Linked DNA regions of Nothobranchius furzeri. The protein of the gene in region 2 interacts with the protein of the main gene of each other region in a biochemical or structural test. Links are inferred from orthologs where the notes say so. Each region holds a gene or a part of one and is shown on either strand. Other genes may lie near its edges.

What was found.
Region 1: the proteins of esr1 (region 2) and nr0b2a form a complex in vitro, tested with the Homo sapiens proteins (2 studies listed by BioGRID). The link is inferred for Nothobranchius furzeri from reciprocal best matches to the Homo sapiens genes ESR1 and NR0B2.
Region 3: the proteins of esr1 (region 2) and ncoa7b form a complex in vitro, tested with the Homo sapiens proteins (2 studies listed by BioGRID). The link is inferred for Nothobranchius furzeri from reciprocal best matches to the Homo sapiens genes ESR1 and NCOA7.
Region 4: the proteins of esr1 (region 2) and grip1 form a complex in vitro, tested with the Homo sapiens proteins (2 studies listed by BioGRID and IntAct). The link is inferred for Nothobranchius furzeri from reciprocal best matches to the Homo sapiens genes ESR1 and GRIP1.
Region 5: the proteins of esr1 (region 2) and tbp form a complex in vitro, tested with the Homo sapiens proteins (2 studies listed by BioGRID). The link is inferred for Nothobranchius furzeri from reciprocal best matches to the Homo sapiens genes ESR1 and TBP.
Region 6: the proteins of esr1 (region 2) and cebpb form a complex in vitro, tested with the Homo sapiens proteins (2 studies listed by BioGRID and IntAct). The link is inferred for Nothobranchius furzeri from reciprocal best matches to the Homo sapiens genes ESR1 and CEBPB.

What each region holds. Positions count from the first base shown.
Region 1 is NC_091745.1:40,694,475-40,697,736, reverse strand, and holds nr0b2a (nuclear receptor subfamily 0 group B member 2a), read right to left. Parts: upstream 2,028-3,262; 5' UTR 1,589-2,027; coding exon 1,054-1,588; intron 969-1,053; coding exon 703-968; 3' UTR 501-702; downstream 1-500. UniProt on the Homo sapiens protein: Transcriptional regulator that acts as a negative regulator of receptor-dependent signaling pathways. Specifically inhibits transactivation of the nuclear receptor with which it interacts.
Region 2 is NC_091742.1:2,865,243-2,869,414, forward strand, and holds the start of esr1 (estrogen receptor), read right to left. Parts: upstream 2,801-4,172; 5' UTR 2,676-2,800; coding exon 2,665-2,675; intron 2,236-2,664; exon of another isoform or gene 2,085-2,235; intron 1,996-2,084; coding exon 1,570-1,995; intron 165-1,569; coding exon 1-164.
Region 3 is NC_091742.1:4,412,591-4,416,857, forward strand, and holds the start of ncoa7b (nuclear receptor coactivator 7), read right to left. Parts: upstream 2,801-4,267; 5' UTR 2,671-2,800; exon of another isoform or gene 2,545-2,670; intron 1,906-2,544; exon of another isoform or gene 1,904-1,905; 5' UTR 1,812-1,903; coding exon 1,774-1,811; intron 1-1,773. UniProt on the Homo sapiens protein: Enhances the transcriptional activities of several nuclear receptors. Involved in the coactivation of different nuclear receptors, such as ESR1, THRB, PPARG and RARA.
Region 4 is NC_091741.1:34,258,608-34,262,107, forward strand, and holds part of grip1 (glutamate receptor-interacting protein 1), read right to left. Parts: intron 3,464-3,500; coding exon 3,388-3,463; intron 3,302-3,387; coding exon 3,156-3,301; intron 2,997-3,155; coding exon 2,849-2,996; intron 2,529-2,848; coding exon 2,359-2,528; intron 1,237-2,358; coding exon 1,099-1,236; intron 975-1,098; coding exon 825-974; intron 721-824; coding exon 534-720; intron 1-533. UniProt on the Homo sapiens protein: May play a role as a localized scaffold for the assembly of a multiprotein signaling complex and as mediator of the trafficking of its binding partners at specific subcellular location in neurons.
Region 5 is NC_091749.1:35,004,844-35,008,203, reverse strand, and holds the end of tbp (TATA-box-binding protein), read right to left. Parts: intron 1,991-3,360; coding exon 1,896-1,990; intron 1,695-1,895; coding exon 1,615-1,694; 3' UTR 501-1,614; downstream 1-500. UniProt on the Homo sapiens protein: The TFIID basal transcription factor complex plays a major role in the initiation of RNA polymerase II (Pol II)-dependent transcription.
Region 6 is NC_091755.1:52,069,630-52,072,564, forward strand, and holds cebpb (CCAAT/enhancer-binding protein beta), read right to left. Parts: upstream 1,773-2,935; 5' UTR 1,609-1,772; coding exon 733-1,608; 3' UTR 501-732; downstream 1-500. UniProt on the Homo sapiens protein: Important transcription factor regulating the expression of genes involved in immune and inflammatory responses. Also plays a significant role in adipogenesis, as well as in the gluconeogenic pathway, liver regeneration, and hematopoiesis.

The DNA.
Region 1 (3,262 bases), on a different chromosome or scaffold from region 2:
ACGCGTAACCCCATTTCCACCGGCTCACCGCCCCCACCAGCACATTCCTGTTTTACCTGTACGAGTTGTCATGTAAAGACAGGGTTTCACAACTAACATACCACAAAGTAGGATGACTAAGCCTGATTTCTCAAATAACTACATGCAGACAGTGTTTTTTTATACTGCGCTGAGTTTAGCGTTCGTGCCATTCTGTCCCTTTTTGTGACGATGGGGTGGGGGGATCTTGATGCTGTGGTTTTGTGAGAAATGCAAAAGTAAGAAAATATTTGCCGCTAGTCTTCTGAGAAAAAAAAACTTCCACCAAACGTCCTCTAGAGGGAGACACAGCACAGCAGTACAGGCAGAAAAAAGGTTTTCTGTTCCATTTGAAGCCACAAATGTGTGTTTTCATTCTAATTTTAGATTCTCTCCTTTAACGCGCAGGCTTACGCTTGACTTTCTGAAAAGTTTGCTGAGCACAACATGTAATGGAGGATGGATCCACGGATCGGACTCAGTCGTGTACAAAAATATATTTATTCAAGTTTTCTGGAAATGCAGATGCTTATTTACAGCAGAGGAGCTCATCGACACGTAGGATCAAAACTCAAAAACCTCTCAGGAGTTCTGCTCAGACGGTGAAGTGACCTCAGCTTCAGCGGACGAAAGTCAAAACCCTAGTGTGCTTTATAGAAGCCTCTAAAGCACGCTGCATGGAGGTCACCATCCCGAGGACCACCCCTCCCATCGGCTGAAGAGCATGTCGACCAGCAGCTCCAGCAGGTTGGCCTGGCCTATCACAGGCCTGAAGAAGAGTTCGGTGATGAGGCTGGGTGTGATGCCCTGCAGCATGGAGGCTGTGAGGAGGATCCGAGCAAAGCGCTCCTGGTTGCCAGGGTGAAGCAGCTGGACCACCTCGCTCAGGGCGTGCTGAGCTTCCTGCTGCAAGCCTTCGACAAACAGGCCTGCCTTCAAATCTGGTACATCTGTTTGAGAGAAAACCAGAATTGTTGCTTGACAAACGAGTCCTTGGATTATCTGTTGTCTGAATCCAGTTAACGCAGTACATACCTGGATTAAATATCGTGGTCCCTTTCAGGTAAGCGTACTCCTTTGGGCTCACATCTAGACTCCAGAACTTTTTGAGACACGACTTGAGTTTGCTGATGCCTGCCATGGTTGGCTGCTCCCGCTCTGTTTCAGGGCTCTCCTGGCAGTTCAGGAGAATCTTCTTCAGCATGCTGTCAGCAGGGACGTCCGCCACCTCAAAGTCCACGCGCTCCTGGGCCAAACCCAAAATAAAAAGTGGCACCCAGCTGCTTTTAAGTAGTGCAAACTGGTCACTGGGTGGCAGCTGGTTAAACGCTGGCAAGTTCTTCATGAAGTGGACGGTTTTCACCAGAACTGCAGACGCCTCTTTGCAGACCACAGACGGCCTTTTTAAGCACACTCTCCGCCGCGTCTCACAGTTGCATCTGTGAGGAACGGAACTGTGGCTGGAGGTGTCTGGAGTCGGTCTACCGCTGTCCATCTGGCTCAAGATGTTGTAGAGGATCGGGTTTAACTGCCTTTGTTTGTTAGCGGAACACTGGCATCTGTTATCCATCTTTCTTCGATGCGGCTGCTCCTCTGAACCTCTTCTCTGCCACGACGGGCTCCGTCTGAGCTTCTGAGAGCTGCTGCTTCCTCCAGTCTTATTTATAAGGCCAACCCTCCCTTCTTAGTGGACCTTGAAATGTCAATACACCCAATGTGAAAAACAACCGCGCGCTCTGCCAGGTGACTGCTGGAATAACCCTGGGAAACAGATAAGCTTTTCTCATTGAGAAGTAGCTGCTGGAGTCACACATGGATATCAAGTGGGATTGGCCTTATCTGGAAGGCAGTGTCATCAACCCAGGCAGTACCAAGCTACCAAGGACTGCAGAGGTAATCAGCCCCACGCTGTGTCACTGCACCCGCCAGCTCACACCTGTAGTGCTGGAAGGAGGCCAGACCACAAAGGAGGCCGTTGACCTTCACATCGTGTTCTCATCAAACGTAGTTTAGTTTAGACAAACGTTTCCAAACCGGGAACAGTGGGAATTATGCTTCAATTTTAGGGAAACAGTAGTAGTAGCATAAAACCACCAAATAATTCCCGACCACAGCTGCAGTTCTCCGCTCCCCACGGGGATGGGTCAAATGCGGAGATGAATTTCAACAGTGTGTGATGACTAAAGGAACTATTGAAATGATTCCAAATGACTTCGGGAAGAATATAAAACAAGTTCATCGCTGTAGCGAGCCCCCTAGGGGCAAGTTGCATTGATAGCTTAACCTGTAACTCTGGGGTGGGAACAAACGGTAAAATGTACACTTAATGCATCTAATCCTCAGAAGTCCCAAAGCATACTTCAACCTTATAACCACTTCACCTACTAACCTTTAAAATCGGACCGGCTAGCAGCAACGCGACTCTACCACTGACTCTGTTTGCTCTTCAACGTTGATGTTTTCTCTCCACAAATAACACGAGCCTGGAGGAGGTCTGCTGTGTGGTGGAGTTGCTTGTGCTAACGTTAGCTTCTACTACCTCTCTGCTGTTTCCTGGATGCTAAGCCAACAACAGCCGCGAGTCAAGGAGGGTGAGTCCATGAATGTTAGGTGACAGCGTGGCGTAGATCTGTCAGGCTTTTCAAATCCTAGGTGTAGGAGACTATTTTCATGTTCAGCATGAACGAAACACTCGGAGACCGATTATAATCAGAAATAATAATTAAAACTTTTTTTCAGTGTTCCACACCGTTAATGGATATCCATCAAGATTTGCGTTTTAATTCTGCCTTTTCGATCTTTAACACGATTATTACACAGAAGATTAAAAGGTTGTTTGTGTGATCGTAAGGGTCGTGTGTAAGACCAGTTTTTCATTTGAAACATGCACAGAAGTGTTTGTTAGTGATCTGGAACGTAATTAACCCGTTTTACAAATGTCTGCTTCTATAGTTTCTTTGTTTGCATTTGCTTTTGCCCAGTTCCTGAGTAACAGCTGCATTTACGTAGAAGTTTTTGAACATGTTTATTTTGCTGTCAACACATTTGAAATGAAATGAGGCATTCTAACTGCAGATGTTCCGTTTGTGAGACAAACTTATCTAAAAAAGCATCTTGATCAAAAAAGAAATAGTGTTATTGTTTTTACAAATGTTACATTCTCTTGTTGTTGGCCATTTCACAACTAATCTCAATAATGTACATGTTTTTCTTCAGTTCAGATTATTTATATAGCTCCTAACTC
Region 2 (4,172 bases):
ACACCCCATAGTGGTACCCAGAGGCGTAGTCGCTGCACACGGCACAGAAACGTGTCTCTTTGGCCATCTCAAACCCCCCAGCTCCGGCTCCTAACTCCCCCACACTGAATGCCTCGTCACGGGCGTCACACTGGTCCTCTCTGGAGGCTGGCTGGTGACTGGATCTGCAACGAGTCATGAATTTTAATTTGTTGATTAAACTGCGGTACTCATAAAACACTATAAATAACAGTTTTTTATTAGCATATGAGGATAAAAAGCAATGTTTAGACGATTATGCAGAACAAATACCAGTTTTGTCATTTTTAAAAGTGTTTAGAGCCATTAAATCCATTCCAGATGAGAGGTGAACCTTTGCATAGTGACTTTAAAAATGACAGAGGCCTCGTGTTTTCCACCTGAGACTGCATGTGCACTTGTGTTGTTCTTACGTATTGTTCCTCTCTCAAGGTCCTTTACCAAGTCCTTAATCTCTGGAATTAGAAACCCGGACAGCGCTTGATCCTTTACAGAGAGATAATAGTGCTGTTTTGTTTGAAGCTAGAGATAAAAAGCTCTGCGATTATTTAATTATGTTTTGTTTTAAGGCGTTTTAACGACTCAACCAAACCGCCAATGCTATACACTGCAAAAAGTGATTTTCAAAAAAGCTAAAAAAAAGTCTTGATTTTGAACATTTTTTCTTATTTATGTAAAAAAACGTTATCTGCAAAAACAAAACTAATTGAAAAAAGTTTAATATTCTTAAATATGACCAAGTTTTCTTATTTTGAGTGCAAAAAATATGAATTTATCATTATATTAACTAGTGAATAAATCAAAGAATATTTACCTCATTACATAAGAATGTTTTTTTTCTTAGACTAAAAATACAGGTGAAACTCTGAAAATTAGAATATCAAGCAAAAGTTTATTTATTTCAGTAACTTGACTTAAAAGGTGAAACTAATAAATGAGATGGACTCATTCTATGCAAAGCCAGATATTTTAAGCCTTTCTTTGTTATAATTGGGATGATTGTGGTGTACAGCTTATAAAAAGCCCCGAATTCAAAATCTCAAGACAATCGGAATATTGTGAAAATGTTCCATATTCTAAGCTCAAAGTGTCACACTCTAATCAGCTAATGAATCATAAACATCTGCACAGGGTTCCTGGGCCTTTAGATGGTCTCTCAGTCTAAGATGGATCACAGAAATAAATGGGCTTGAGCACGATATTCTAATTTTTTGAGTTTCACCTGTAAAACAAAATGTCTAAAAGCAGTTTTTCATTTAACTTTCTTGTGATTTTTTTGTGGTAAATTAGAAATAAAGTGTATAATTATGCAGCAGTAATTTGCATCAAAATGAAACCATGAAAAAAATTGGGGAAATACACCCAAATAAGTATTTTTTAAATATATTTTTTATGAAATGGCCTCCTAAAGTCTTTATTAATAATTGACTAAACTCATCTGACATTTTAGATTGACTTGATCTTAGCAGTTCTATCAAGTCCTGCTCCAGCCTGTGCTCACCATCAGTGATTAACGAGTGGTGCACGCTCGTTTAAATTCAAATCTCATACCTGTAGATGGGAGTTGAAGCAGCTTCCAGATAGTGGTGACCGGGAGGGTGCATAAAGGGGCTGAGTCTTGGACTGGTGGGCACAAACACCAGAGGACTGGTTGGCCCACTCCCCAGAGACTGCAGGCTGCCATCAGACGGAGGTCCATGGGCGTCCAGAGGAGCAGAGTAGTACCCTGTGGTGGAGCTGCTGTAAAGAGGAGTTGGGGCAGGGGTGGGGGCGGCGTAGTCGTACGTCCCCTCTAGGAAGTCCACAGCGGCGACCCCTCCAGAGCCTCGGCTCTCTTCAGGGTACATGTCGCTGAGGAGGGCACGGGGCGAGGGTGAGAGCCGAGGTGGGGAGAGGGTCTCCAGCTCTGAGGAGGCTGGGCTGATCCTGGTTCGGAGCGCTGGTCCAAACTGCTTCCTGCTCTGCAGCGGGCTCTGCCTGAACATCACAGCACAACAGCACTGATAAGCAACATGATTTAGACCCGCTCTCCCATTTGTTGGGTGGGAGAGAGGAGTACTGCTCACCCTCTCCTTCCTCTCTTCTTTCTCTCTCTGGATCTCGTCTCTCCTAGAACTCCTGTCAAGCAACTTGGAGAGACCTCTGAGTCCTCTTTTGCTCTGTCTGCCTTCAGGTTCTGCTCAACAGGCTCTAAAAAAAAGACTCCTCCCAATCCACTTCGTTATTTTTTTCCTGAGTGTAGTGTTTCCCTCTTTTCCTTTAAAGTGTGGGAGTCAGGGAAAGCTGGTGGGAGAGAGGAAAAGACAAGAAGGAATGACAGAAATAGTGATTCCCAAATAACTTCCCCGTCTCCTCTCCTCCACATGGCCATTTCCACTTCACCTTTGCATTAAATAGCTTTTAGCGGCTGCATCTGGATGCCAGACAGGAGGAAACTCTATAGCAGCACGACTATCTCTGAATATTCTTCCTTCATTTAGATGATCCTGAGCGCACAGCAAAGATCCCCGCTCTATTTGCAGCCTAATGACTAAATCCACCTGATGCACGGCAGCCGATCGCTGTGAAAACGGGATAAAAGTAAACAGCTTCACAACTCACGAGCTAAAAAACAATAAAAAAAATCCTGCATGAGACTCCACTCACCTCTCACACATGAATCATCCTCAGATATGCTGCGCAACGGCGGCTGATTTCCTTCTCCCTTCCTCTCTGCCTGCCTCACAGGCATCTAGATGGGCTCGTCGGACTCGCTGGGAACAGTGGAAAGGTTTAAAAACGGATAAACAAATTAAAGATGCAGCCAAATCAATAGCCATGGTGCGTTTAGGAGCCAGGTCACCATAACACAGCAAACAAAGCGGGAGGTCAAATCTCATTCTGACGGACAATAATTATGCAACCAAGTCCAAATAAGGGTGTAGATGGATGTTTTTTACAATAGATGCACAATCTAAGTGATCTTTCTGTGAAGTTTAGAATGAAACTGCAGGAAATGGAAGGATTTTTCTGGTTCTACAGGTTGGTGTTGCGTCATAATGAATCATCAGCAGCAGATTAAAAAGGATTTGTGCAAAGATGCGAGGGGACAGTTTTTGTTTGTGCAGTGCAAAAGTTTCAGGTTTGGGACCATCAGGGACCTTTGATGTCCTGGGATGTTGGGGAAAAGACATCAAGGCAGCAAATACTCAGAAAAAGTTTAGATACTTTAATCAAATCCCAAATAGGCTCAGCCGTCAAATTAGAAATAATGTTCTTTTAAGTTTAGGGAACAAGATAAAGCGAGCATAGATGCTACAAAAGCAGACGAGTTGCAGCAACCACTGGAAAAGACCAAAATAACTGGGGCACGGAGCTTTCTTTCATCTTCACCTTTTCTTGACTTCACAGCATCATCTTCAGGAGATGTCAGGTCAAGTGGAAAACAAGTGGCTCTGATGATTTACGTAGCATTCTGCATTTCTCCTGAAATAAAATTAAGATGGTGGGAAACAGCAAAAGCCAAGGGTGAGAAACGGCTGCAGCAAATCGCCTAAATGGCACAAGATAGGAAGCTTCCGGCAGTAAATGACTCCATTTTCCTGAAGGACCACCATGACAAAGCCTGAATTTTTTTTGTAGCTCATCCAGAACGTTGCAGCATTTTGTGACTTTTTGGTGCAAATTTCAGCTCCTAGATGGAGCCTGTTCCTGATCTTCATCAAAACAATCAAGTGTTGGCAAAAATCTTGATCCAGTTTTCAAAAACTGGATTTGACAAATCCAGTATTCATGGTTCCCATCCGTCTTCTGTAAAAAGCATGACAATGTGGGATAAGGTCCATTCACTGCAGTTATTTATTTAGTTTTGCAAACAACACAATTTGCTCCATGCACCCAAAAACCCAGTAATCACCACCAATTTAAAAAGGACAGGTTTCATTGAGTTGACAGAACTGTGTGCACATAAGCTTCCAGTTTTATCTATGAAGTAAAAGAGGTCTGGTTCCACTTTCACACCAAACAGGACGAATGTTGTCGCCGTTATTGTTGCACTGCCCCCCATAACACTTTACCATCCCGTAAACAGAGGAACTGGTCATAATGCAGCGCTAGTTCGCTTGATTTAAGCCGAGGTTTTCTCGTTTTGATGCATTCCTATCACTGGCACTGAG
Region 3 (4,267 bases), about 1.5 Mb from region 2:
CGACCCGGGGCGACCCGCCCCGCCGGGGACCCAACAGAGCCCAGGGACCCAGATCCCACCAGACAGCCACCGGGATCATTCAGGCAGACGCTAAAAATCTTAAACCCCCTGACCCGGGAGCCGCGAATACTCAGGCAGACCACGGCACCACACTCCACACCAGGTGTGACAGGGAAAAGGGAGGCGAAGACGTATAGCAGCAAAAGAAGTCCCAGGAAAAGAGAGGAGTCAAAGGCCCCACCTGACATATACAGTCATACACTCCCTCCCTCATGCACACACACACACATACAACCAAAGACTCACAAAAATGCACACCAGACACCCACTCACACTCCCCATACACACCCTATTCACTCTGGTCACGGTACTGCTGCACAAGGGGTACAACCATCACCGGTTCCCAGAGTTCGACCTGGGGTGCTGATGAGCAGGCTCCCCCGCCCAATGCCGAGCACAGCGACCCACTACCCACACCCCAGCCAGACGGCCAGATCCCCCTCCTAGCCTCCAGAGGTGTGCTAAGACCCCTAGTCACCCTCCGCCTGCTCCAATACAGTGTTGGTGCATGTTGATGAGGTGTATTCGTGGCTGTGGTGAGCGGGCAGTACAGGCATATTCTGGCCTATGCCAGCTGATGCCACCACACCACCCCTCTTCCCCCCACAACCCTCTGTGTCTAAGTGCTGTTTAAAATTGAAAGTGGGCACCGGCACTTGCGATGAGGCTGAGAAATCCCCTTGCCAAATGCCGTTGTATGCGCTTATTCCCAAGGCCCTAAGTGTGTGTTTGCGTGGAATGTCGTTGGTGGAAGTGTTTAATGTGCAAATAAAATTGGGGGGCAGGCTGCCACAGGAATGCGGAAATGGGGTCCACACCCACACCCCCTGACTTGTCCACCCCCCAAAGTCCTATGTGCATGATTGTGTGATGATGTGAGGGAGCAGGAGGAGAGAAATGTGTGGGGATGGGGAGGAATGGCTGGTTGGCCTAAGCCCTCCACCCACAACCTACTTGTTGGAATTTTATATTTTTATTCATTTTTGTTTAATTATATGTATATTATATGTTCAATTTAATTTATGTCAGTGTGCCCCAGGGCTAGCCTTGTGAACTGGACTAAATTCTTGCTTTGCAAAGTTAATTACAGCGAACTAAAACTATAAATAATACATTTATTTAGTCTGGCTTGCCAGACTACCCCAGGGCAGCTGTGGCTACATAGCAGTTAATCACCACCAGGCTGTGAATGCGTGTGTGTGTGAATGAATGAATGAATGACACATTGTTAATAATGAGAGAGAGAGAGGAGAGAGAGAGAGAGAGAGAGAGAGAGAGAGAGAGAGAGAGAGAGAGAGAGAGAGAGAGAGAGAGAGAGAGAGAGAGAGAGAGAGAGAGAGAGAGAGAGAGAGAAACCAGATGTGGACAATGAGGGCAGCTAGAGTCCATCTGATTAGCCAAATGATTTATTCATAAACATGACATTGGGAAAATAACAGTAACTTACAGCTCCGCAAGCAGCCCTTTGACACCACTTTGCATTGACACTGCAACAATTTTTGAAAATACGGGCATCGTTTTAAATACTTAAATTGAAAATGATGAGTCTGGTGATAAAAACATCAACTCTGAATTTGATTCAGTGGAAAATGGGAAAAACTAAAGAAAATTGTCAGATGCAGGTTATGCTGAAAATCGACCATTCCAGTCACCAGACAAATTTTCTGCGTATCTCTAAAAAAACTGCAAACATGCAAACAAAATCCGCCTTACCTGTCAAAATATCCTTGCTTTCTCTCTCTCTTTTCCATCTGGGCAGGGCTCTATTTCTGCATGCAGTTAGAGTTGGTGCATCCCTACTAACAGAGACAACCCTCCTCAGATCTCACACCTCTGTCTCATCCTGTAAATGAAAGAAGGAAGGAAATTAGAAAGCTCTCTGCGTGTCTCCTCACTCCACAGCACTCAGTGGGCTGCAAAAAAAAAAGCCAATAACAGATCCATCAGTCCCTTAGCATAAGTGGAGGGCGATGAAAGCATCCTATAATAATCACGTCACGTTAGTCAGCTGAAAATAAAAAGGTGGAAACGCTCTAGTTACAAAAACATCTGCTCCTGGTTTCCACAGTAAGCATGTGGTTTATTATGTAATGCAGCGGTCAGTTTGTCCATTATTATTAGCATTGGATCCAATTCTGTAAACAGTCCATTTTAAGCAATGCACTTCTAATGAGCTTAACTTTATCTTTGAGTAGCCTTGAATGCTAGATATCTAGCCGCTGTTACGTGTAAATTTCACTGTCTATTATGGTCATTTCTAGCCTCTTCGCCCATCTTTAGCTGTTGTCCTTTACGAAGCAGAAGGGGCAACACAAACCCAGCTGTACTAATGTATAATTTATCAGAGCCACGGCAAACAAAAGCATATCGAACAAGGTCCAATCGTCTTCCAGCTGACAAGAAAACTGTGCTAACGGTGCTACAGCTAGCCACTTTGTTTACACAGACAATAACAACCTGGTGTTGGTAAGAAACAACCCTTACGGTCAGAACGCGCTTCCTAACCATGAGACGTTCTAGCTGTCCGGCTTAGCGGCGACGCCTTATTTATCTGCAACAACGCTGCGAAACGCTCAACCTGACATGAGAAACAGGTAGCTGCTCACATACCTAGCGAGCATCTTCGAGTTGCTACATGAAAACCAACGAAGGTTCCTCCCCTCGCTACGCCCCCTGGTGTCATGTGCTCGGTAAAACACGGACAGGCTGATGTTTTCTTTTCTTTTAACCTCCAGCGGACGACGCGGCGGTGTTACCTTGTTTCTGCTAATGCGCAAACATATAAGTCATGTTGAACATACAGCAACAAAACAAACACATAAATAAATAAAAAATATTCATTGATTTTATAAAAATATAATACATATCACCTGAAGCTTACAGTGTCCCTGGTGGTCTAGTGGTTAGGATTTGGCGCTCTCACCGCCGCGGCCCGGGTTCGATTCCCGGTCAGGGAACTTGCTTTTGCACTGGATTTAATTCATGTCTGGATACGCGTTTTATTTTGATCCTTGTTCCTAATAAAACGGTTCAATGGTTACATACCTTTATTTCTTTCAACAAAATAACGTCAATTTGATTACTCTGATTGTTTTGCAAGGGTACTTAAACTTTGTTAATTAAACAACCCAATTATTACAGTTCCTTTTGTGCTTTCAAGCTGGTTTTCACAAACCTGCGTTAAAGGGATTTGTTTAGAAAATGTGTAAAGAGATCCAAAATTAATTAAAAAGCAAAAATTAGAGTAGCATATCATAAAAAGCTGCACGTTGGTGCAGTTGTTAGCACTGTGTTTGCATGTTCGGAACTCGGCTGTGGCCTTTCTGCGTAGAGTTGCATGTTCTCCCCATGCATGCGTGCGTTTCGTCCGGGTTTTCCGGTTTCCCCTACAGATCACAGCATGTCCTACAAGTTAAAAATTGTACGTTGCTTTGGATAAAAGCGTCTGCCAAATAAATAAACATACAAAGGTTTCAATTCAAATATACTTTATTGTTGTTGTTAATAAACATAAATCACACCAAATAAATAATTTACATTAGTTTTTAATAATTTTATATTTTGCTGTTTTTTTTCTTGGACATTTAGGAGGCCTCTTACATCACTTAACCCCAGAAGTTAGGTACTTCATTATCTTACCATGATGAAGCGGGAGTTACCAACTATTACCACTAGGCGGCGACATTTCTTTATAAATGAAAGTTTCCTACAGGAAGTTGAGGTTGTATGATTAAAGCAGAATTTAGCCTTGAAAAGATATGCATCAGGATATTTTGTCTTTAGCAGCAGCTTAAAAATGTCTTCTGAATGGGTAGAAATGTTGAAATAAATTACACCCGTTGCTTTAATTCACAAGTTCACAAATACACCTATATATTTGACTTTATTAGCCTTGTTTGGCTTTAAATATAATGACTTTTAAAATCTATTTGATAAAAGTCTAACATAGAGAGAGTTAAAGAGAACAGTTAGATAATGGAAAAAGTCAAAGCCTGCTGATTGGACGACCTACAAGTTAACCGGTTCCTCACTGGCTGTGTATCTTGGCAGTTATTTTGACAAGCGCTATCACTAAGAGAAAGGAGATAAGTTGTCTTAGGGATCGCCATGGCGCCTGTATGTCGCTCTTCTGGCCTCTGCCCCCTCCTCTCCTTACCCCAGGAGCAAAGGAGAGGGTGGCTTGGTTGGGACCAGGATCTGGGTTGGC
Region 4 (3,500 bases), on a different chromosome or scaffold from region 2:
ATGCCGGTTTGCACACATTACACTCCCTCTGCTGTTTGTTTAGAATATCAAATTACAGACATTTTCTCTCTTAAGGCGACAGCCATGCTCTGTTAGCTAGCTGCTGTGTGTTATGTGTGTGAACTCCCGGTCTACCTTAAACTTTACGGTATCGTTTGTGACACAAAGAGCACTGATGGAGAGGATCTAAGCCGTCGTTTTTCCGTTAGAAAATCTCTTTCTCCGGACGAATTTAAACGTTTGTTGTTTTAAGCGGTTAAATCCAGTTGTCCCCTCCGATTCCAACCTGTTTAAAATCACACGGTTGGACTCGATTTCCGATCGTGTGATTGTGTCGGAGCGTCCCTGGTAAAAACTGCTGAAATGTGCAAATAAACAAGTACAAAAAGTTCCACCTAATGAAGTGAAGTTAATCTAGAGTTCTCTATTCAACAAAAACATTATCTGGCTCCAGATTTTCATATTTACAGAAAAGGTTCTCCGTCTGTCAGAAACACGAAAGCACCCAAACGTCCTTCCCGTCTCCATCTCACCTCTCAGCAGGACTGTCCGGGTCAATGTAGGCGATGAGCGGCGGGGATGACAGCGTTTCTGTGGCAAACACTCCACCCTGGAGCTGCAGGCCGAACCCCATGATGCCGTCTCCTAGCAACATCACCTCGGTGGTTTCTGTGTGGACCACCTGACCGGCGAGACCCACGGTGCTGGACGCCAGAGATACTGATGGGAGAATTTTAACGACATTTAATTACAAACAGACTCAGTTTCTGTTTGCTCCCGCTCGTGGGCTAATACAGTTTTATTCAAAACGTGGATAGACTCACAGGAGCTCTTGAACTCCTTCTTCTTAGCCTTCCTCCTCATCATCGTGCTGCGTGGACTTGTGGGATACATGTTCCTGGGCAGGGTGCTCATGTTGAGGGACGAGAGACTGTAGGCAGACATGGAGCCGGGAGAGAACGAGTGGCTAAGGGCTGGGGAGAGAGAGGGAGAGAGGGAGAGAGGGAGAGAGAGAGAGAGAGAGAGAGAGAGAGGGAGAGATTTAGTCAAACTCTCTTGCCCCTTATTTAAAGAAGCAGAGAAGCGGGGCGGACGTACGAGGGTTGTTTGTATGGCGGCTGTGCGATCTGCCACCTGATTGGTCGGGGTGATAGGTGTTGTAGTGGTAGGGGGGGAGGATGGGGGTGGAGCCTCCGGTTTCCCAGGGGAGGGGGCGGGGACTACGTTGCACCTTGACTGCACACACGCACACACACACACGCACACACACGCACGCACACACACACACACACACACACACACACACACACACACACACGCACGCACGCACGCACGCACACACACACACACACACACACACACACACACAGGAGGATGTTCAGGTTCAGACAAGAGGAGCAGGCAGAGGTCAAAGGTCAGGAGGTTCTGCAGCAGTACAAAGAAGTTTGATTAGAACCACGTTTCCTAAGATGGTCAACAAGATAATTCCTGAACAAGTCCTCCGGTCCACGATCAGGTGTAGAAGGAAGCATCGTTCAGGTCCTTAACTCTGTTTCAGTATCAGACTTTTAGACTCCTTTCATCTACTAGGAAACCGTTTATCTGAATGACCCAGAGGTCAGAGTTAAATAGAATGACTCTGCAGGTCACAGGTCTCTCAATAAGATGTTTGCATTCATGTCGACTTGTGGAATAAAAGCCATTCTTTGTCTCCTCTAACAGAAAGTCGTGGTGCATTTAAGGCCTCCTCAATGTCAAGAGTTTGTTTAGGATCCATTAAATTTGACGTCTTTATGTTCCCATCATACTGGAGGACATTTGAGTCCAGCAGAGATGTACATGTAGGGGAGCGAGTTATAAATCTGTCAGCTCACCAACATCTCCGTCCAGAACCAACTAATCTCTCCTACAGGTGGTTTCTGTCTGCTTAATTAACAGCAAAGCAGTAAAACATAAGTTATGTAAAAAAGGTCCCAAAAGATCTGTAAACAGAAAACAAAACAGACATGTGGTGGTGCGTTCAGGGCCTGCTGTGTTTTAATACTGAGCTGTGGTGCGTTCAGGGCCTGCTGTGTTTTAATACTGAGCTGTGGTGCGTTCAGGGCCTGCTGTGTTTTAACACTGAGCTGTGGTGCGTTCAGGGCCTGCTGTGTTTTAACACTGAGCTGTGGTGCGTTCAGGGCCTGCTGTGTTTTAATACTGAGCTGTGGTGCGTTCAGGGCCTGCTGTGTGTTACTATCGAGCTGTGGTGCATTCAGGGCCTGCTGTGTGTTAATACTGAGCTGTGGTGCGTTCAGGACCTGCTGTGTGTTAATATTGAGCTGTGGTGCATTCAGGAGCTGCTGTGTATTAATATACCGTGCTGTGGTGCATTCAGGGCCGGCCGGGCCTGGTGCTGAGGCAGGATCTCCATACGGACGGTCTGACAGGAAGCGGAGAGCAGCTGAGTGGCTTCAGCCAGGGAACAGAATTCCATGGACTTCCCGTCGACAGACAGGATGTGGTCTCCTGCATGAAGAGCGCCGCACCTACACACAAACACTCATGTTCACCAGAAGGTGGAAGCTAAAACCCATAAAAACCTGCAAACTGGAGGAACGTTGTGCCCATCGAGTGAAGCGAGTCATGAAAGCATCAAGGCAATCAAGAAGAACGTCTGTAACTGACTCTGAGACAAACGCAAAAGACCCCATCAGCGCTATGATTCCTTCAGATAAACACAGCAGAAGGTCAGATCTGTTCAGCAAACATTAAATTATTCAGATGTCTGAGAAAATAATCCGTTTACTGAGAAAAAGGTTTATCATCAAATAAAGAAATGAAAGTTCTGCCAAGCGGGCCGTGGTACCTGTCCGCTATACTGGCTGGTTTGACTTTGTCGATGACGATGACCTGCTTACTGCAGAACACGGAGGTGGACAAGGCCACACCCAGACTGGAACCCGTTGGCTTGGCAACCTCAACCAGCAGGGGCCCCGACGCCGTAGCAACCGAGTCTACGGAGAAAAAACAGCGAGTGTAACGTGTTTCTGAATCTAGTTTAATTCCCTCATCCTGGTGTTCCACAGGGCTTTGTCTTTGGGTGCACTACTTTTAATAACTGAACTACCTCTTCATTAATTTTGTTCATTTGGTTTTAATCGGACTAAACTGACCCATCACGGACACGTCATACTCGATCAGCAGCGTGGCCTCCTGGCCGCACTGCTTCAGGATGCTCATGGCCTCAGACAGCGTGCTGCCATGGAGACGAATCCCATCGATGCTCAGCAGTCGATCACCCGGCTTCACGGTTCCTTCTCTATAGAAACAAAGTTGCTTTCAGTTTGTATGGAAGCTCAAAAGGGTCAAAAATGTCTGAACAGGAGTGAATGGAAGAGGCAGCACCTGTCAGCTGGCCCGCCCGGCCTGATGGTTGTTATGACGATGGGGCGGGTCTTGTTCCTGTCCTCGTACGCTCCGCCTGCGCAGGTAGTCACACGATGTGTTTGTTTTGGATT
Region 5 (3,360 bases), on a different chromosome or scaffold from region 2:
AACGTGTCCTGGGTCGACCCGGGGGCCTCCTGCCGGCAGGACATGCCGAAGCACCTCCCCAAGGAGGCGTCCAGGAAGCATCCTGACCAGAAGCCCATACCACCCTTGTTCTTAAAATTTAATGATTTTGACATGTCAGTTCCAACATAATCACCTACAAATGATTCTCTTTTGACTGATGTTACATGGGAGACAATCCTGACTTGTCTTTTTTATGATGGGTATCAAATAAGCCACAATTCCTTTTGTAAGAATGATTGTATTGTTTAATACACAAATTACTTTATTTCAGATATTCAGAGAAATTATGTATTTTCTGCAGCTCTAACATCCAACTACAACATGTTTTAACTCTTACCCAGAGGTTTTCCCTAAACTATTTCTATACAGGGATTCAGTATTTTAGTCTTCACAGTTTATTTCTTCATGGTGACTTTTGGTTTTACGCAAGAGACTTCAGCTGTAAAATGTTGCTGCAAAGAAAACCAAGTAGACTTGAGTCATATGTACACTTTTATTGGGTGGAAAAGAAAACAATGGACCAAACTTCTTCGAGTCTGCTGGGAGGACAGAAATCAGACAGAAGAGACAAAGATGGAGACTGAACATGTCACTAAATAAACCAGACTTTTAACTAGTTGCCATAAACGTCACTAGCTGACCGTATAACACATAAGACCACCAGCAATGACTTCAATGTGATCCTACTTGAGTTTTAATTTTAGACAAAGGCCAAACAGCCAAAATTCTGCTGATTTGAAACAACCAAAAACATTTTTAAAACTATACTGCATGGGTTTGAAATTAATATTAATCATAAGAGCTTTTTTTCCCTTATATCAATATTGAGCCTACTGAAATCCCGCTGAAGAGCTGCATCGACTTTAAGATTGGCATCACTTCTCATTCTAATTACAGAAGAACATATACACACATTCAAGTTTAACCATTAAACACTTTCTTCCTGTAACCACAACAAACCAGTTCTCTCTTTCAACAGAAAGATTGTTTCACGACTTCAACCAGACAAAGTCGAAAGTTATCAAACGCCTCTAAACAACTTAACTGTTTAGCAGCAGCAAACATTCATGGACAACTTGGCCAGTCAAATAAAGATTAGCTCAGCTTGAGTTAATGGGCGTCTACTCCCAATGAGTGTAAAAAAAAAGTCATTAATCAGGATTATTTTCTACCTTAAGGGAGTAAGCATAGGATTTAAAATCCCAAGTATCATGTACAGCAGGGGATTTAAAGAGAGGTCAACAAATGCTAACAGCTGAGAGTATAAAAGTATTTAAAACAGCTTCACATAAAACCAGCAGTCCTAGTCGTCGAACTGCTTTTCTGCTCAACAACACTTTACATTTTTTACAGTCATATGTACAGTTGGGGATGAGATGGGACAACAAAAACCTGCAACCACAGGACACAATAAACATGGTCAGAGTGAAAGAACAACCTTTAAAATGATGATTAAAAAAATTGAAGACAGAAAGATGGATGAAAAAACTCCCAACACCTGCATCAGTCTACCTTCTCATTAAAAATGTGACATTAAATAATGAATGAAATAAGAGGATCAGGTTTCAGGAGGTGGAAAAGAAACCCCAGGTCCTACGTCGTTTTGCGGAAACCTTTCAGAATGGGGTAAATGTTTTCAAATGCTTCGTAAATCTCTGATCTCACTTTGGCCCCTTCAGGAAAAACAAAAAAGATTGAAACATGGATCAGTATCAAGATGAATCTAGAAAACTTACAGAATCTCTTGTTCTATTTTAAATAAAAAAATTACAATCCTTTCAAAATAAAAGGAGATCCAAAACAATGTGCCAAATTATTAGGTGATACTTTAACTAGAATCTAAAAATACACCCGTCTGAGAGCTCGGGCCTTACCTGTGAGCACTACTTTCCCAGAAACAAAGATGAGCAAGACGATTCTGGGTTTGATCATTCTGTAAATCAGTCCTGGAAACAGCTCCGGTTCATAGCTACAAAACACAAGTTAGACTTTCACAATTATATGAATTTTAAATTAAAAAAATGTACCATTTTTAATTAAATCTTTGCAAACATTAGCGATGCTCAGATCAGGTTTTTTGCTGCTTATGGATTGGCCATAAATGTATCAATGCTGTTATTATACTTGCTACATGATCTGGAATAAAGGAGCAATAATATTGCCCAATTTTGACAAAATCATTTTACAAAATACAAGACTTGTCAGTGTGTTTCTGACCAGAACTTATAAGCCTTCTACTATTTTCAGTTCAACTCAAGATGATCATGTCCAGGATGACAGAGAAGCTTCCCCTTGTGCTTAGGGCTGTAGCGAAGCCTCGACTACGTCGACGGCTCGATTCTAAAAATTTGTCGACGTCAGATCCGGAAGTCGACGCACCGCGCCCACTTGTTGCATCCCCAGGAGTTTGTAAATAGAGGAGGAATCTGCCTGTTTTTCCTCTAGTTCGCCCTCTTCTCCGCCTTCACTAACATCTCCGCCAAATACCGAAGACCCGGAACAATGTCCGTCCACTACTAGATTATTTTCCTGTTTTGCCCGCCTTCGTCTCCCGGCAACGGACAACAACTTCCGGGGTCAGATGCGCTGCTCCGTCTCTATCGCAGATGTAGAAAATCACCGGGAGCGTTTCTCCCTTCATAAAGGAGCTTCTTTCAGACATTAGGAGAGCTGTTTTGGTGGTAGCAGTCTCTCCTCCGTGCTGGTCTGTTTGCTGCTGGGTGTTTTGGTTTATTTAAACTTGGTAACTTGAACTTAACGTTGGTAAAGCTACTGTTAGCATCTTCGCTAACAGCTTCTTGCGTTGGGATAAGCTGTTACGTTTTGGTTTAGAGTTAATCTTTTTTGTGGTGTAGATCTCCCTTTTATTACATTTAGAGTGTTGTGGGTTTTCGGTTTAGTGTAAAATATCACCTTGAGTTTGGTTTAACCCGTAAGACCACTCGCCTCACGCACATAAGTGACCAAAACAAAGCAGCGTGGAGACACTCCATCTTCTACCACCTCTCAGGCAGCAGCCTGCACTCCCAAGTTCTACACGTCACCAGAACATAACCAACCGCAACACAATAAAAGCAGTGTTATACAAAATGGAAGGCCTGTAGTGTTTATTCTCTTACAGTAACAATTTATCAATTTTTTTGAGGAATTTATTTGAGATTTTCTGGTTTTTGTTAATTGTGCAATAGAAAAATAATCATTAGATTAATTTTCTAAATAGTCATTAGAATAGTCGACTATTCGATAAAATAATCGTCAGAATAATCGTTTTAAAAATAATCGTTTACCCCCAGCCCTACTTGTGCTGTATTTTTGTTACAGGATGCAAAGTTTAGATCA
Region 6 (2,935 bases), on a different chromosome or scaffold from region 2:
GAGTGATGTTTTGTGTGGGCCCATGTGACTATTTTCTAAATTAGCTGTTCCAAAGAGAAAAATCTCATGGTGCTTTGTTTGATTTCACCATAGCCTGACATTTAAATGTGCACATTCTGCTTATCATCGAGGTGATTTCTTATCTGCAGTGTGTCGTAACCCCAAAACATGGTATTACACAGTCTATGATGACGGTGAACGATGCACGATCCATGGTGAAAGGGACAAAAAAAGAAGAAAAGGGAAGTGAAATAGTTTAAACAAAGTATAAATCTCTTTAATTCAATAAAATATCAAGAACAATTAAAGCATTTCACCTTTTAATATTAAATAATTAGACTATTTCATTCATTGCCAATACTATTACAAAGAGTTGCATCATTTCACTGCAGCACAACTCTTCCCCTGACAGCCATTGCTGCAGATACAGTGTACACAAAATGTAGAAATTCACTGGTAATGTAAAACCTGCACAGAAATACTGCATACACTAAAATTACATCTGAGAATAAAGCTATGAGGACAAGTGAAAAGTCGCGTAATGGTTGCGCAATCCATGCAGCCACTTGTTCAGTCTCATTCAAAGTGTCCATGTAAACTGGCGGTCTGTTTACAGAGTACCGTTTTCAGCACAGTGGGTCGCCTCTTGCGCCGTTAAGTCTGTCAGGCAAGCAGCGCGGGGATCCGGGGGGAGATCCGTGCGGTATCCCCGGGGGATGGAGGTGGGGAGTTCTAACATTGTCCGGTGGCGGAGAGCAGGTTGCGCAGGGTGGCCAGCTCTCTGGACAGCTGCTCCACGCGTTTCTGTAGACGATCGTTCTCCGCAGCCAGTTCCAGCACTTTGTGTTGCGTCTCCAAGTTGCGCATCTTGGCTTTGTCCCTGCTCTTCCTCACTGCCAGGTTGTTCCTCTCCCTCCTCAGCCGGTACTCTTCACTGTCCTTGTCCAGGCGCTTCTTCGCCTTCCCGCCAGACGACTTTCCACCGTGCGACGGTGACCTGCTTTTACCTGACGGGGCAGGTGTGCCAGGCGGGCTGGAGCAGGTCGAGGACGCAGTGGAGATGTTTCCAATACTTCCGCTGGTGGATTGGTAATGAAGGTAGGACCTCATGTCAAACCCAGATGACCCGTTCTCCATCTTTGCGTCTTCCGGACTGTCTTCTCTCTCGGTGGAAGCGGCGGCTCGGTAACGGCTGGCCACCAGATCCGGGCTGAGAACGCTGTCCACACGGGTCTCCTGCAGCTCGGGGTAACCCAGCGCGTACGGATCCCTGGGCTCCCTCGCACCCTCGCACTGGCTCGCCTCCAGCTCGCTCAGCAGCGAGTAATTCTTATAGTTCTGGAAAGCTGCGAGTCTTTTGATCTTGTTCTCCCCGAGGAAATCAGAGAAGGCGTCCCCCTGCTGCTGCGTGTGCGCCGCCAGCTGCGGGCAGTGCAAAGCGGAGTCCAGGTAAACGCTGAAGTCTATGGCTCTCTCCCGCTCCCCCAGACCCAGCTCCGTCATCGAGTCGCCCAGCCTCCAGTAAGAGCCTCCGCCTATGGGTCCGATGAAGCCGTCTCTACCGTGGATAGCAAAGCTGCCCTCCTCGTACAAGCCGGCCACTTCCATGGATCTCAACACCCGCTGGAGTGCAGGAGCACGTCGGGCTGAGGTGGGACGCCCTGGCTGGTTCTGGTTTTCCTGCCTCAGTTGTGAAATGCGTCGGAATGCAGAGAGTTTAAACCTCCTCGGTCACTACCCGTAGAAACACGCAGCTCCTACTACGCGGGAGCTCTTGGATTGGGAGGAATTGACAGATCTTCCTGTCTCAGGAGGGGTTTTATTAGGGGTGGGGGCGGGGCTTAACTTGGCAGGTGTGTCACGCAGAGCAGAACCGACCTGTACCGTGCGGAGAAGATTCTTTCCCGTCCGCATGCTATTTAAAGTATTTTGTCACGATGAAACAAACAAACAAACAAACAAAACAAAACAACAACAATAAAACACCGAACAACAAAATAAAACTTGCTTTAGTTTTTATGTACGTGCGCACCAGATGAAGGCTATAATAAAATTCTAGCAGCAGAACAAAAAGGAGAAAAGCAGCTTTGGCTGATGAATGGGAGCTGATATCAGAAGTCAAATAAAAAGTAAAAAATAAAATTCCAGTTTACACCGTCATGCAAGCGCGCCCCCTGCTGCACGCGTCTGGAAAAAAACCCAACGTGTTTATCTTTTTAAAGTTTATAGTAACAACATCACTGATGTTCAAAGCAGCCACAGACTCATTTCATTTAGAAATCTGGTGCCCCACAACTTCCAGCATATATACGTGCCAATTAAAGTGCAGTGGACCTCCTCATGATGCATGTCTAAATCTGTACAAAGGCCAGGGTGGGCGTCAGAGGAAGCCAGTCTGTCTGGTTTAAGGCGAAAGACTTATATGTGCCCTAGAAGATGTCTGTGATTGCTTTGTGGGTCTTGAAAAATCTGCTGCCTCGACAAAAAATGAGATCTGACACAAGCTCTCCTCAAGTCCTTAATTCTGGCTGCAGTAGAAGCTAGAATCTGATAAACTTGATAAAACTCAACGAAAGACTTTTGTTTACAAAATCACCAATGCAACAATTACTAAGTATTAACATTTTAAATATGTGTAAAAATCCAGATATGTAAATCTATATATAAGTTCACTGCTCAACAATAATAAAAGGAACACTTAAACAACACGATGTAACTCCAGTGACAGTGACTGAGAAGCAGTTTCACTGCTGTTGTGCAAACAGAAAAGACAACAGGTGGAATTTATAGGCAAACAAAAAACGAATGGTTCTGCAGGTGGTGACCACAGACTACTTCTCAGTTCCTCTGCTTTCTGGATGATGGATGATGTTTTGGTCACTTTTGAATGCTTTCACTCTAGTAGTAGCATGAGATGGAGTCTGCAACCCACACA